Linked DNA regions of Saccharomyces cerevisiae S288C. The protein of the gene in region 1 interacts with the protein of each later gene in a biochemical or structural test. Each region holds a gene or a part of one and is shown in the gene's direction. Other genes may lie near its edges.

Region 1 (3,841 bases):
AGGCGGGGTTAACCAAGCGGTTCCCCTAATCGGAGCTTGACCCATAATTCTTCTTCTCCTATTCACTTTTGCAGTTGAAAACAGAAGTATAAGGAGTGCAACTATGAAAAAAATAAAAAAAATCCATCTTCCCCATCTCCATGAGGAAGAGCTAAATGGATCATCATCTGTAATCGCTTCACCATTGTTATTATTATCATCCTGTCTTTTATGTATTAGGAAGTCGATCTGCTCCCGTAAAATCATTTCAAAACTATACTCTCTGTTTAGCTAAATTTCCTTCAGCTTTCTAGCGAGCTAAGGAATGTATTCCAAATTTACTGCTCCTTTATTACGTCAAAAATTTCTATAGTATTCGATTCTCATTAGTAATTATAAAGGAGTAGCGAGAAAAACAAAAATAAAAGGGCGGAAACATAAAGATGGTAAATAAGACAGAGAATATTACCCGGAAACATACTACGAGATTATTGAGCTAATCTCCATGCACCAAAGTGGTTAGACATTTGGCTACATTGACTACTGCAACAATTACTTGAACCCTCTAATCCTTCTTACATATCTATTCATATGTGATTTCACAATGCTACATAAGCGTTTTTTATATAATTAAAGAGCAACTTTTCCTCACAGTAGATAAAAATATATATGCACGCTGTAAAGGAAAATTACATTAGGAACAAAAAAATCTAGACGCAAGTAACAAGCACATCGAAACTAAGCCTTTTTGTTGATTTCTTGAGCTTTTTCAAATTCTTCTTTAAATTTATCAGCATTTTCCTTACTGCCAAATCTGATAGCAAAAGTGAAGGCTTCTGCTTCACCTTCTGCAATATCTGCTGTACAAGCATACACCCAAGATCTATCAGAACCAACGTTAGGCTTCAAAGTGTATTCTGGAGCAATGATGTGGTTAGCACAAATCTTTAAGGTCTTGTCTCTTCTCATCAATATTCTAACCTTGTTAGTCTTTTTGTTCTTCAAGAACTTACAGTCACCAGTACCTCTTTCTTTCCATTCCTTGGCATCGGCATCGAATCTGAAAAGCTTGGCTCTGACCTTGTAAAGAACTTCTTCGTCTTCTTCCATTGTCTTAACATCTACCTTTTCCAGGTGAACCACTGGTTCAAAATGGATATCTGGTGATTCTGGAGCATCATCACCTTCCTTCTTGGTTTCCTCCTTGGTATCTTCTTCGTCTTTCTTGGTTTCTGGCTTTTCGGCCTTCTTACCACCAAACATGGAGAAGACAGCAGAGGATGGTGGCTTTGGAGCAGCCTCTTCCTTCTTGTCGACGACAGGTTTCTTATCTTCGCTAGACATTCTTTTTCTATAGTTGTGTTTATCTTCTTGCTTTTATTTCAAATTAAACAAGATCTTTCTTCTTTCTCCAATTGAATATCAATTTCATCATCAGATTTTAGTTTCTGTTTTATTTTTTATTTTTTTATTTTTTTTTTGTTTCTTGTTTTCCGCGTACTTCCCGCTGGGCGAAAAAAGAAATGAAAAAAAGAAACGACAGGAGCATCGTGTAGGACGAAGCCCCTTATCCCCTAGTTACCGAAGAAGGCCACCAATCTTAAGTTTGATAGAGCAGTACTTATATAAGGCTATATATAGACTGGTTCACAAGGTTATCAATATGAAACTTGCGCGATCACCGATTTACGGGATTTTTCAGGAGCGAGGTACAAGATTTGTTGGCCTGAAAAGATCGCAAAACATTAGCTAGAAATTTTCCCCCTATCGTTTTCCGTAGAGTAAATATAATATCAAGAAGATAGTTTTATATTGACTGATTTCACAACCAACTGCATAGATATAAGGAGATTACTAGATACAAGAACGCCTGATAAACAAAAAAAGAAAAATTAACAAAAAAAATCAGTAGAATGAGTCAAGTTAATACAAGCCAAGGACCGGTAGCCCAAGGCCGTCAAAGAAGATTATCATCACTAAGTGAATTCAATGATCCATTTTCGAACGCAGAAGTCTACTATGGCCCCCCAACAGACCCAAGAAAGCAGAAGCAGGCAAAGCCCGCTAAGATCAACCGTACGAGGACTATGAGTGTTTTCGATAATGTATCTCCTTTCAAGAAAACTGGTTTTGGTAAACTTCAACAGACTAGACGTGGTTCTGAGGATGACACCTATTCAAGTAGTCAAGGTAATCGTCGTTTCTTTATCGAAGATGTCGATAAAACACTTAATGAACTACTGGCTGCTGAGGATACCGATAAAAATTATCAGATCACCATCGAGGATACCGGTCCAAAAGTTTTGAAAGTCGGTACCGCAAACTCCTATGGCTATAAGCATATTAATATTAGGGGTACGTATATGTTATCCAATTTGTTGCAGGAACTAACTATTGCGAAAAGTTTTGGTAGACACCAAATTTTCTTAGATGAAGCTCGTATAAACGAAAATCCCGTCAACAGATTATCAAGATTGATAAACACACAGTTCTGGAACTCTTTGACCAGGAGAGTTGATCTGAACAACGTAGGCGAAATTGCAAAAGATACCAAGATTGATACGCCGGGGGCAAAAAATCCAAGAATCTATGTTCCTTATGATTGTCCAGAACAATACGAATTTTATGTTCAAGCTTCTCAAATGCATCCATCTTTGAAATTAGAAGTTGAATATTTACCAAAAAAAATAACGGCAGAATACGTCAAATCCGTCAATGATACCCCCGGTTTACTAGCATTGGCTATGGAAGAGCACTTCAATCCTTCTACTGGTGAAAAAACTCTCATTGGTTACCCTTATGCTGTTCCTGGTGGTAGATTCAATGAATTATATGGTTGGGACTCCTATATGATGGCACTAGGTCTCCTAGAAGCCAACAAGACTGATGTTGCAAGAGGTATGGTGGAGCATTTTATTTTTGAGATTAATCACTATGGAAAAATATTGAATGCTAACAGAAGCTACTATCTATGTAGATCACAGCCCCCATTCTTGACTGAAATGGCCTTGGTAGTATTCAAAAAACTTGGTGGTAGGAGTAATCCCGATGCTGTGGATTTGTTGAAAAGAGCTTTCCAAGCAAGCATAAAAGAGTACAAAACTGTTTGGACCGCATCTCCAAGGCTTGATCCCGAAACAGGCTTATCCAGGTACCATCCTAACGGTCTCGGTATTCCTCCGGAAACTGAAAGTGATCACTTCGATACCGTTTTACTACCATATGCATCGAAACACGGCGTTACCTTAGACGAATTTAAGCAACTTTATAACGATGGTAAGATAAAGGAGCCTAAATTGGATGAGTTTTTTCTTCATGACCGTGGCGTTAGAGAATCTGGACACGACACTACATATAGGTTTGAGGGCGTATGTGCCTACCTGGCCACTATTGACCTGAATTCTCTTCTTTACAAATACGAGATTGATATTGCAGACTTCATAAAGGAATTCTGCGACGACAAATATGAAGATCCTTTAGACCATTCTATAACAACTTCAGCTATGTGGAAAGAAATGGCCAAAATCAGACAAGAAAAGATTACCAAATATATGTGGGATGACGAGTCGGGGTTTTTCTTTGACTACAACACAAAAATCAAGCACAGAACGTCATACGAATCCGCAACTACATTCTGGGCATTATGGGCTGGACTTGCCACGAAGGAGCAAGCACAGAAAATGGTGGAGAAAGCACTACCCAAGTTAGAGATGCTTGGAGGTTTAGCTGCATGTACGGAGCGTTCTCGAGGCCCAATTTCTATTTCGAGACCAATTAGACAATGGGACTATCCATTTGGTTGGGCACCCCATCAAATTCTTGCTTGGGAAGGCCTCCGTTCTTATGGTTATTTAACTGTAAC
Region 2 (3,449 bases), on another chromosome or scaffold:
GAATACATTACTTGAGCTTTGTCTAAGTACTATCCATTTGGAGCGTTTTTAAAAATATATAACTTTTGCCTTTATCTTTTCGATAAAGTACTCCTGTCGAAAGAAATGGCGGCAAGGAAAAATTTAAACTCATCAAGTACTTCAATAGCTTTATACTAGCAATTTTTGCTAGTGAATTTTTTAATAGCAGGTCTTGTAACAGCTATACAGCGAAAAAAAAAAGCACATCTTTGAAATAAATTACTATTCGCGTTCATTTTTCCTAATCACACCTAATAATGTACACAATCAGCAGTTTTCTCGCCTTAGCACCGGGTGCCCTTCCAATAGTTGTATTTACTAGTTTGAATCGAGAAACTTACCGAATTGTAGCGTGGTGACAATGCCAATATATTGCTCGTGAATTTACCTTGAAAGTTCAATGAGTTTAAAACAAGAAATGGCCATAGATTTTCATTTTTAAATGCAAAAAGCATTCGAAATATCTACAATTTGCACTAAAGTCATAACGATAAAAGCATTCACTGCCCGCAGGAAGACTAATTCCTTAGTTTTTGATGAAAAGTGGAATTTTTGAGACTTTATTGGTTTGGGTAGGTCTCTATGACCTGCCAGTCGTCGTTGCCAGAAAATAACGCAACAACATCAATTGCTTAAGGAGCGAAAAAATTGACGATTGTTTAAACTTTCCAAGATCTATTACCTTAGCAAGACAATTTCTTCTCTAAGTGAGCTTCGGGGAGTTACTTTTATAACCGCATACCATACTCCATTTAATGTCCCAACTATTTCAAAAGTTGTACATGGAGGTCCATCAGCAAGTATTTTTTTTTCTTCAAGCTATCCATCTCAGATAGTTCCCTTTACCGAGCTTTAGGAGGGATAAATATGGCAAATCTATCACTTATTCGTCAACAATATAGTAAATGCCGGCAAAATTACGGCCTACACAGCGAAGCTTGGACCACATATACTTATATGCCATGGTCCTAATTGAGTTCCTAGGTTTGTCACGACGGTGGCCACCGGCCGATCAACCGTATCATTTACTATTTTTTTCAAGAGGACAACGACTTCATTCTTCAAAAAGTCGTTCCAGGTACGAGTGATTTAGGAAGGTCTGAAGAAAAGCGACTATGCATTTTTGCAAAATTGCGTCAACGTTTCAGATACTCTCTGGTGCGCAAAAATGCGTTTATTTCAAGCCAAGTTGCAATCTTTATCAAAACTTGATATACATTAAAATACTCACTAATATATATATATATATATATATATGTACATATACATATATAGATTTATATGACGTTTCCGACGCATACTGGTGAACCACTTTCTTTTTAGTGAATAGCCTCATTATGCAGTTTCCGGTATTTTTTTTCCGTTGCTTCAGCTACGGGATTTCTTCGATGCCATTGAAAAATAAAGTTGTGTTCAATGAGAATATGGAAAGAAAAGACACTTTTTACCAGCTGATCTTAAAAGTTTTGTCTGCTTTATTACTTCTATCGGTAAGAAACTCGAGTGGACATACGAGACACTTTGTGCAGTCGTCGGAGAAAATTTATAGGCGATCACTCTTTAAGCAATAAGAAAGTTTCACGTATATTATTGAATAATACATTAATCATATTGTATATCGGTGGTTGTACAAGGAAAGAGCGAGCCTGCACAAAATGTATGTTGATCCGATGAACAACAATGAAATCAGGAAATTAAGCATTACTGCCAAGACAGAAACAACTCCAGATAACGTTGGACAAGACATTCCTGTAAACGCACATTCGGTGCATGAGGAATGTTCTTCCAACACACCCGTGGAGATAAATGGAAGAAACAGCGGAAAGTTGAAAGAAGAAGCGTCTGCAGGTATTTGTTTGGTTAAAAAACCAATGCTACAATATAGAGATACCTCAGGAAAGTATTCCCTAAGTGACTTTCAGATTTTAAGAACTTTGGGAACTGGCTCATTTGGGAGAGTTCACCTAATTCGTTCCAATCACAATGGGAGGTTTTACGCTTTGAAGACATTGAAAAAGCACACTATAGTGAAGCTGAAGCAGGTTGAACACACCAATGACGAACGCCGAATGCTTTCAATTGTTTCACATCCATTCATCATTCGAATGTGGGGAACGTTCCAAGATTCTCAGCAAGTTTTCATGGTAATGGACTACATTGAAGGTGGTGAATTATTTTCTTTACTACGTAAATCTCAAAGATTTCCCAACCCAGTAGCCAAATTTTATGCCGCAGAGGTATGCTTAGCGTTGGAATATTTGCACAGTAAGGATATAATATATAGAGACTTGAAACCAGAAAATATCCTTCTAGATAAAAACGGCCATATCAAGATAACCGACTTTGGCTTCGCAAAATACGTTCCCGATGTCACATACACATTATGTGGCACACCAGATTACATAGCGCCGGAAGTGGTCAGTACAAAACCGTATAATAAATCAGTGGATTGGTGGAGTTTTGGTGTGCTAATCTATGAAATGCTTGCCGGATACACTCCATTTTACAATTCGAACACCATGAAAACTTACGAAAATATACTGAACGCCGAATTGAAGTTCCCACCATTTTTCCATCCAGACGCGCAGGACTTATTGAAGAAGCTAATTACCAGAGACTTAAGTGAAAGGTTGGGTAACTTACAAAATGGAAGTGAAGATGTCAAGAACCATCCGTGGTTTAACGAAGTGATATGGGAGAAATTGTTAGCAAGATACATAGAAACGCCGTACGAACCACCAATCCAACAGGGCCAAGGTGACACTTCTCAATTTGACAGATACCCTGAAGAGGAATTCAACTATGGAATTCAAGGGGAGGATCCATATATGGATTTAATGAAAGAATTTTAAGGAGGTTCAGTGGGATAATTGTAATTGAAAAAAAAAAAAAATCAATAAAAGTAAAAACAAGAACAAGAAAAAGCACAAACAAACCTGGTTATAGATTCTTGGTGAGTCTAACAGGGCCATGATAAAAAAGTGACACATGCATATATGTACATGTATATATCTACGTACGTCTATTCAATAGAGGTGTATACAGATAAATAAAGGAGCATTCATATACGCCATATTGTGACTACATTTGCGTCCTCAGAAGACTGGGACGTTCAAAGTGATCTAGGACTTTTCACCCAGGGAAAACAGGATATCTGTAAGAATCGGCCATAAAACTCATTAATAGAAGAACAGTATAACATAAGTGAGCCTGCTACAATAAGAAGATGTCTAAGGTTGCACAACAGTTAAAATTTTTGAATAAAATTAGCGCCACTACCAGACTACCGCAGATTCTAGTCGATCCTAAAAAATACTCAGGTCTTAGATTGACTTTTCAAACGAAAAACCACAATGGACATATGGGTGCCAGAGTTTTTTGGCATAACTACCTACCCACTTTGCAGTTCTATAATCCAAGAATGAAGT
Region 3 (3,600 bases), on another chromosome or scaffold:
AAAGGATACATTAAAAAGAGATGGACTTAAGAGTAGGAAGGAAATTTCGTATTGGCAGGAAGATTGGGAGTGGTTCCTTTGGTGACATTTACCACGGCACGAACTTAATTAGTGGTGAAGAAGTAGCCATCAAGCTGGAATCGATCAGGTCCAGACATCCTCAATTGGACTATGAGTCCCGCGTCTACAGATACTTAAGCGGTGGTGTGGGAATCCCGTTCATCAGATGGTTTGGCAGAGAGGGTGAATATAATGCTATGGTCATCGATCTTCTAGGCCCATCTTTGGAAGATTTATTCAACTACTGTCACAGAAGGTTCTCCTTTAAGACGGTTATCATGCTGGCTTTGCAAATGTTTTGCCGTATTCAGTATATACATGGAAGGTCGTTCATTCATAGAGATATCAAACCAGACAACTTTTTAATGGGGGTAGGACGCCGTGGTAGCACCGTTCATGTTATTGATTTCGGTCTATCAAAGAAATACCGAGATTTCAACACACATCGTCATATTCCTTACAGGGAGAACAAGTCCTTGACAGGTACAGCTCGTTATGCAAGTGTCAATACGCATCTTGGAATAGAGCAAAGTAGAAGAGATGACTTAGAATCACTAGGTTATGTCTTGATCTATTTTTGTAAGGGTTCTTTGCCATGGCAGGGTTTGAAAGCAACCACCAAGAAACAAAAGTATGATCGTATCATGGAAAAGAAATTAAACGTTAGCGTGGAAACTCTATGTTCAGGTTTACCATTAGAGTTTCAAGAATATATGGCTTACTGTAAGAATTTGAAATTCGATGAGAAGCCAGATTATTTGTTCTTGGCAAGGCTGTTTAAAGATCTGAGTATTAAACTAGAGTATCACAACGACCACTTGTTCGATTGGACAATGTTGCGTTACACAAAGGCGATGGTGGAGAAGCAAAGGGACCTCCTCATCGAAAAAGGTGATTTGAACGCAAATAGCAATGCAGCAAGTGCAAGTAACAGCACAGACAACAAGTCTGAAACTTTCAACAAGATTAAACTGTTAGCCATGAAGAAATTCCCCACCCATTTCCACTATTACAAGAATGAAGACAAACATAATCCTTCACCAGAAGAGATCAAACAACAAACTATCTTGAATAATAATGCAGCCTCTTCTTTACCAGAGGAATTATTGAACGCACTAGATAAAGGTATGGAAAACTTGAGACAACAGCAGCCGCAGCAGCAGGTCCAAAGTTCGCAGCCACAACCACAGCCCCAACAGCTACAGCAGCAACCAAATGGCCAAAGACCAAATTATTATCCTGAACCGTTACTACAGCAGCAACAAAGAGATTCTCAGGAGCAACAGCAGCAAGTTCCGATGGCTACAACCAGGGCTACTCAGTATCCCCCACAAATAAACAGCAATAATTTTAATACTAATCAAGCATCTGTACCTCCACAAATGAGATCTAATCCACAACAGCCGCCTCAAGATAAACCAGCTGGCCAGTCAATTTGGTTGTAAGCAACATATATTGCTCAAAACGCACAAAAATAAACATATGTATATATAGACATACACACACACATATATATATATATATTATTATTATTATTTACATATACGTACACACAATTCCATATCGAGTTAATATATACAATTCTGGCCTTCTTACCTAAAAAGATGATAGCTAAAAGAACCACTTTTTTTATGCATTTTTTTCTTCGGGAAGGAAATTAAGGGGGAGCGGAGCACCTCTTGGCCAATTTGTTTTTTTTTTATGTAATAAAGGGCTAACGATCGAAGATCAATCACGAATATTGGACGGTTTTAAAGGAGGGCCTCTGAGAAGACAGCATCAATTCGTATTTTCGATAATTAACTTGCCTTATAGTGTCTGATTAGGAAACAATCACGAGACGATAACGACGGAATACCAAGGAAGTTTGTGCAAATATACAGCCGGCACAAACAGCAGCTTCACTCAGGTTAACTCACATACTGTTGAAAATTGTCGGTATGGAATTCGTTGCAGAAAGGGCTCAGCCAGTTGGTCAAACAATCCAGCAGCAAAATGTTAATACTTACGGGCAAGGCGTCCTACAACCGCATCATGATTTACAGCAGCGACAACAACAACAACAGCAGCGTCAGCATCAACAACTGCTGACGTCTCAGTTGCCCCAGAAATCTCTCGTATCCAAAGGCAAATATACACTACATGACTTCCAGATTATGAGAACGCTTGGTACTGGATCTTTTGGTAGGGTTCATTTGGTGCGCTCTGTTCACAATGGTCGGTATTATGCTATAAAAGTTTTAAAGAAACAACAAGTTGTCAAGATGAAACAGGTTGAACATACCAATGACGAACGACGTATGCTAAAGCTTGTGGAGCATCCGTTTCTGATTAGAATGTGGGGTACGTTTCAAGATGCTAGGAATATCTTTATGGTGATGGATTATATCGAAGGTGGTGAACTTTTCTCGTTACTGAGAAAGTCACAAAGATTTCCTAATCCTGTAGCAAAATTTTACGCTGCGGAAGTCATACTGGCATTAGAGTACTTGCATGCTCATAATATCATCTACAGGGATTTAAAGCCAGAAAATATCTTGCTGGATAGAAATGGCCACATTAAAATAACCGATTTTGGGTTCGCCAAAGAGGTACAAACTGTCACATGGACGCTTTGTGGGACTCCTGATTACATTGCTCCTGAAGTTATTACCACAAAGCCATATAATAAGTCGGTGGATTGGTGGTCTCTAGGTGTTCTAATCTACGAAATGTTAGCTGGTTATACACCCTTTTACGATACTACTCCAATGAAGACGTATGAAAAGATTTTACAAGGTAAAGTAGTATATCCACCATATTTTCATCCCGACGTCGTGGATCTACTAAGCAAACTGATCACTGCAGATTTGACAAGAAGAATCGGTAATTTACAAAGCGGTTCCAGGGACATCAAAGCTCACCCATGGTTTAGTGAAGTTGTATGGGAAAGATTGTTAGCAAAGGATATTGAAACTCCATACGAGCCTCCTATCACATCAGGTATCGGTGACACGTCTTTATTCGATCAATATCCCGAGGAGCAGCTAGATTATGGTATTCAAGGCGATGATCCATATGCTGAATACTTTCAAGATTTCTAAGTTCCATGAACCAAAAAACACAAAAACAATTTTCAAGTACTTTCTCTCACTCCTTTTCCTTTCTCTTTTTTCCTCCACCAAAATCTGGCGCACTTTCTTTATATTTTACCTAACGGATGCCTTATTTGTGGTCTGTTTTAAGCTAGTTCATATTGTAAAAAAAGAAAAAGAGATGAGAAGAACAAGCGTTGCCCTAAATATCTTCTATACTACAATTCATTTTAATTCAATATCATATTTAAGTTGAGGGCATTTAGATCTTAGAGATTCATCTAAAAATAGGAGGGGTGATGTATAGAAAATGTTCGAATATCATTCCTCTGCTTTTTTCTATATGATTATTTCCTATATGAGCTTTTACTTACTGATCTCATGATCTCAGTGCAAAAATTAGGGGACCGGCACGCCTGAAAGTTTTTTAGATAATTGAATGTTGCGGTGCATTACCTATGAAAAG

The links.
Region 2: of the proteins of NTH1 (region 1) and TPK3, one has a biochemical effect on the other in vitro, tested with the Saccharomyces cerevisiae proteins (one study listed by BioGRID).
Region 3: of the proteins of NTH1 (region 1) and TPK2, one has a biochemical effect on the other in vitro, tested with the Saccharomyces cerevisiae proteins (2 studies listed by BioGRID, with this or other methods).

What each region holds. Positions count from the first base shown.
Region 1 is NC_001136.10:450,527-454,367, reverse strand, and holds the start of NTH1 (alpha,alpha-trehalase NTH1), read left to right. Parts: upstream 1-1,892; coding exon 1,893-3,841. Other genes in the region: RCR2 (Rcr2p), read right to left, coding at 1-246; Ran GTPase-binding protein YRB1, read right to left, coding at 718-1,323. UniProt on the Saccharomyces cerevisiae protein: Hydrolyzes intracellular trehalose to glucose. The disaccharide trehalose serves as a storage carbohydrate that is mobilized during nutrient stress. Regulates the level of trehalose as a protectant for cell integrity during heat stress.
Region 2 is NC_001143.9:133,933-137,381, reverse strand, and holds TPK3 (cAMP-dependent protein kinase catalytic subunit TPK3), read left to right. Parts: upstream 1-1,676; coding exon 1,677-2,873; downstream 2,874-3,449. Other genes in the region: mitochondrial 54S ribosomal protein mL61 MRP49, read left to right, coding at 3,248-3,449.
Region 3 is NC_001148.4:164,256-167,855, forward strand, and holds TPK2 (cAMP-dependent protein kinase catalytic subunit TPK2), read left to right. Parts: upstream 1-2,000; coding exon 2,001-3,143; downstream 3,144-3,600. Other genes in the region: serine/threonine protein kinase HRR25, read left to right, coding at 21-1,505.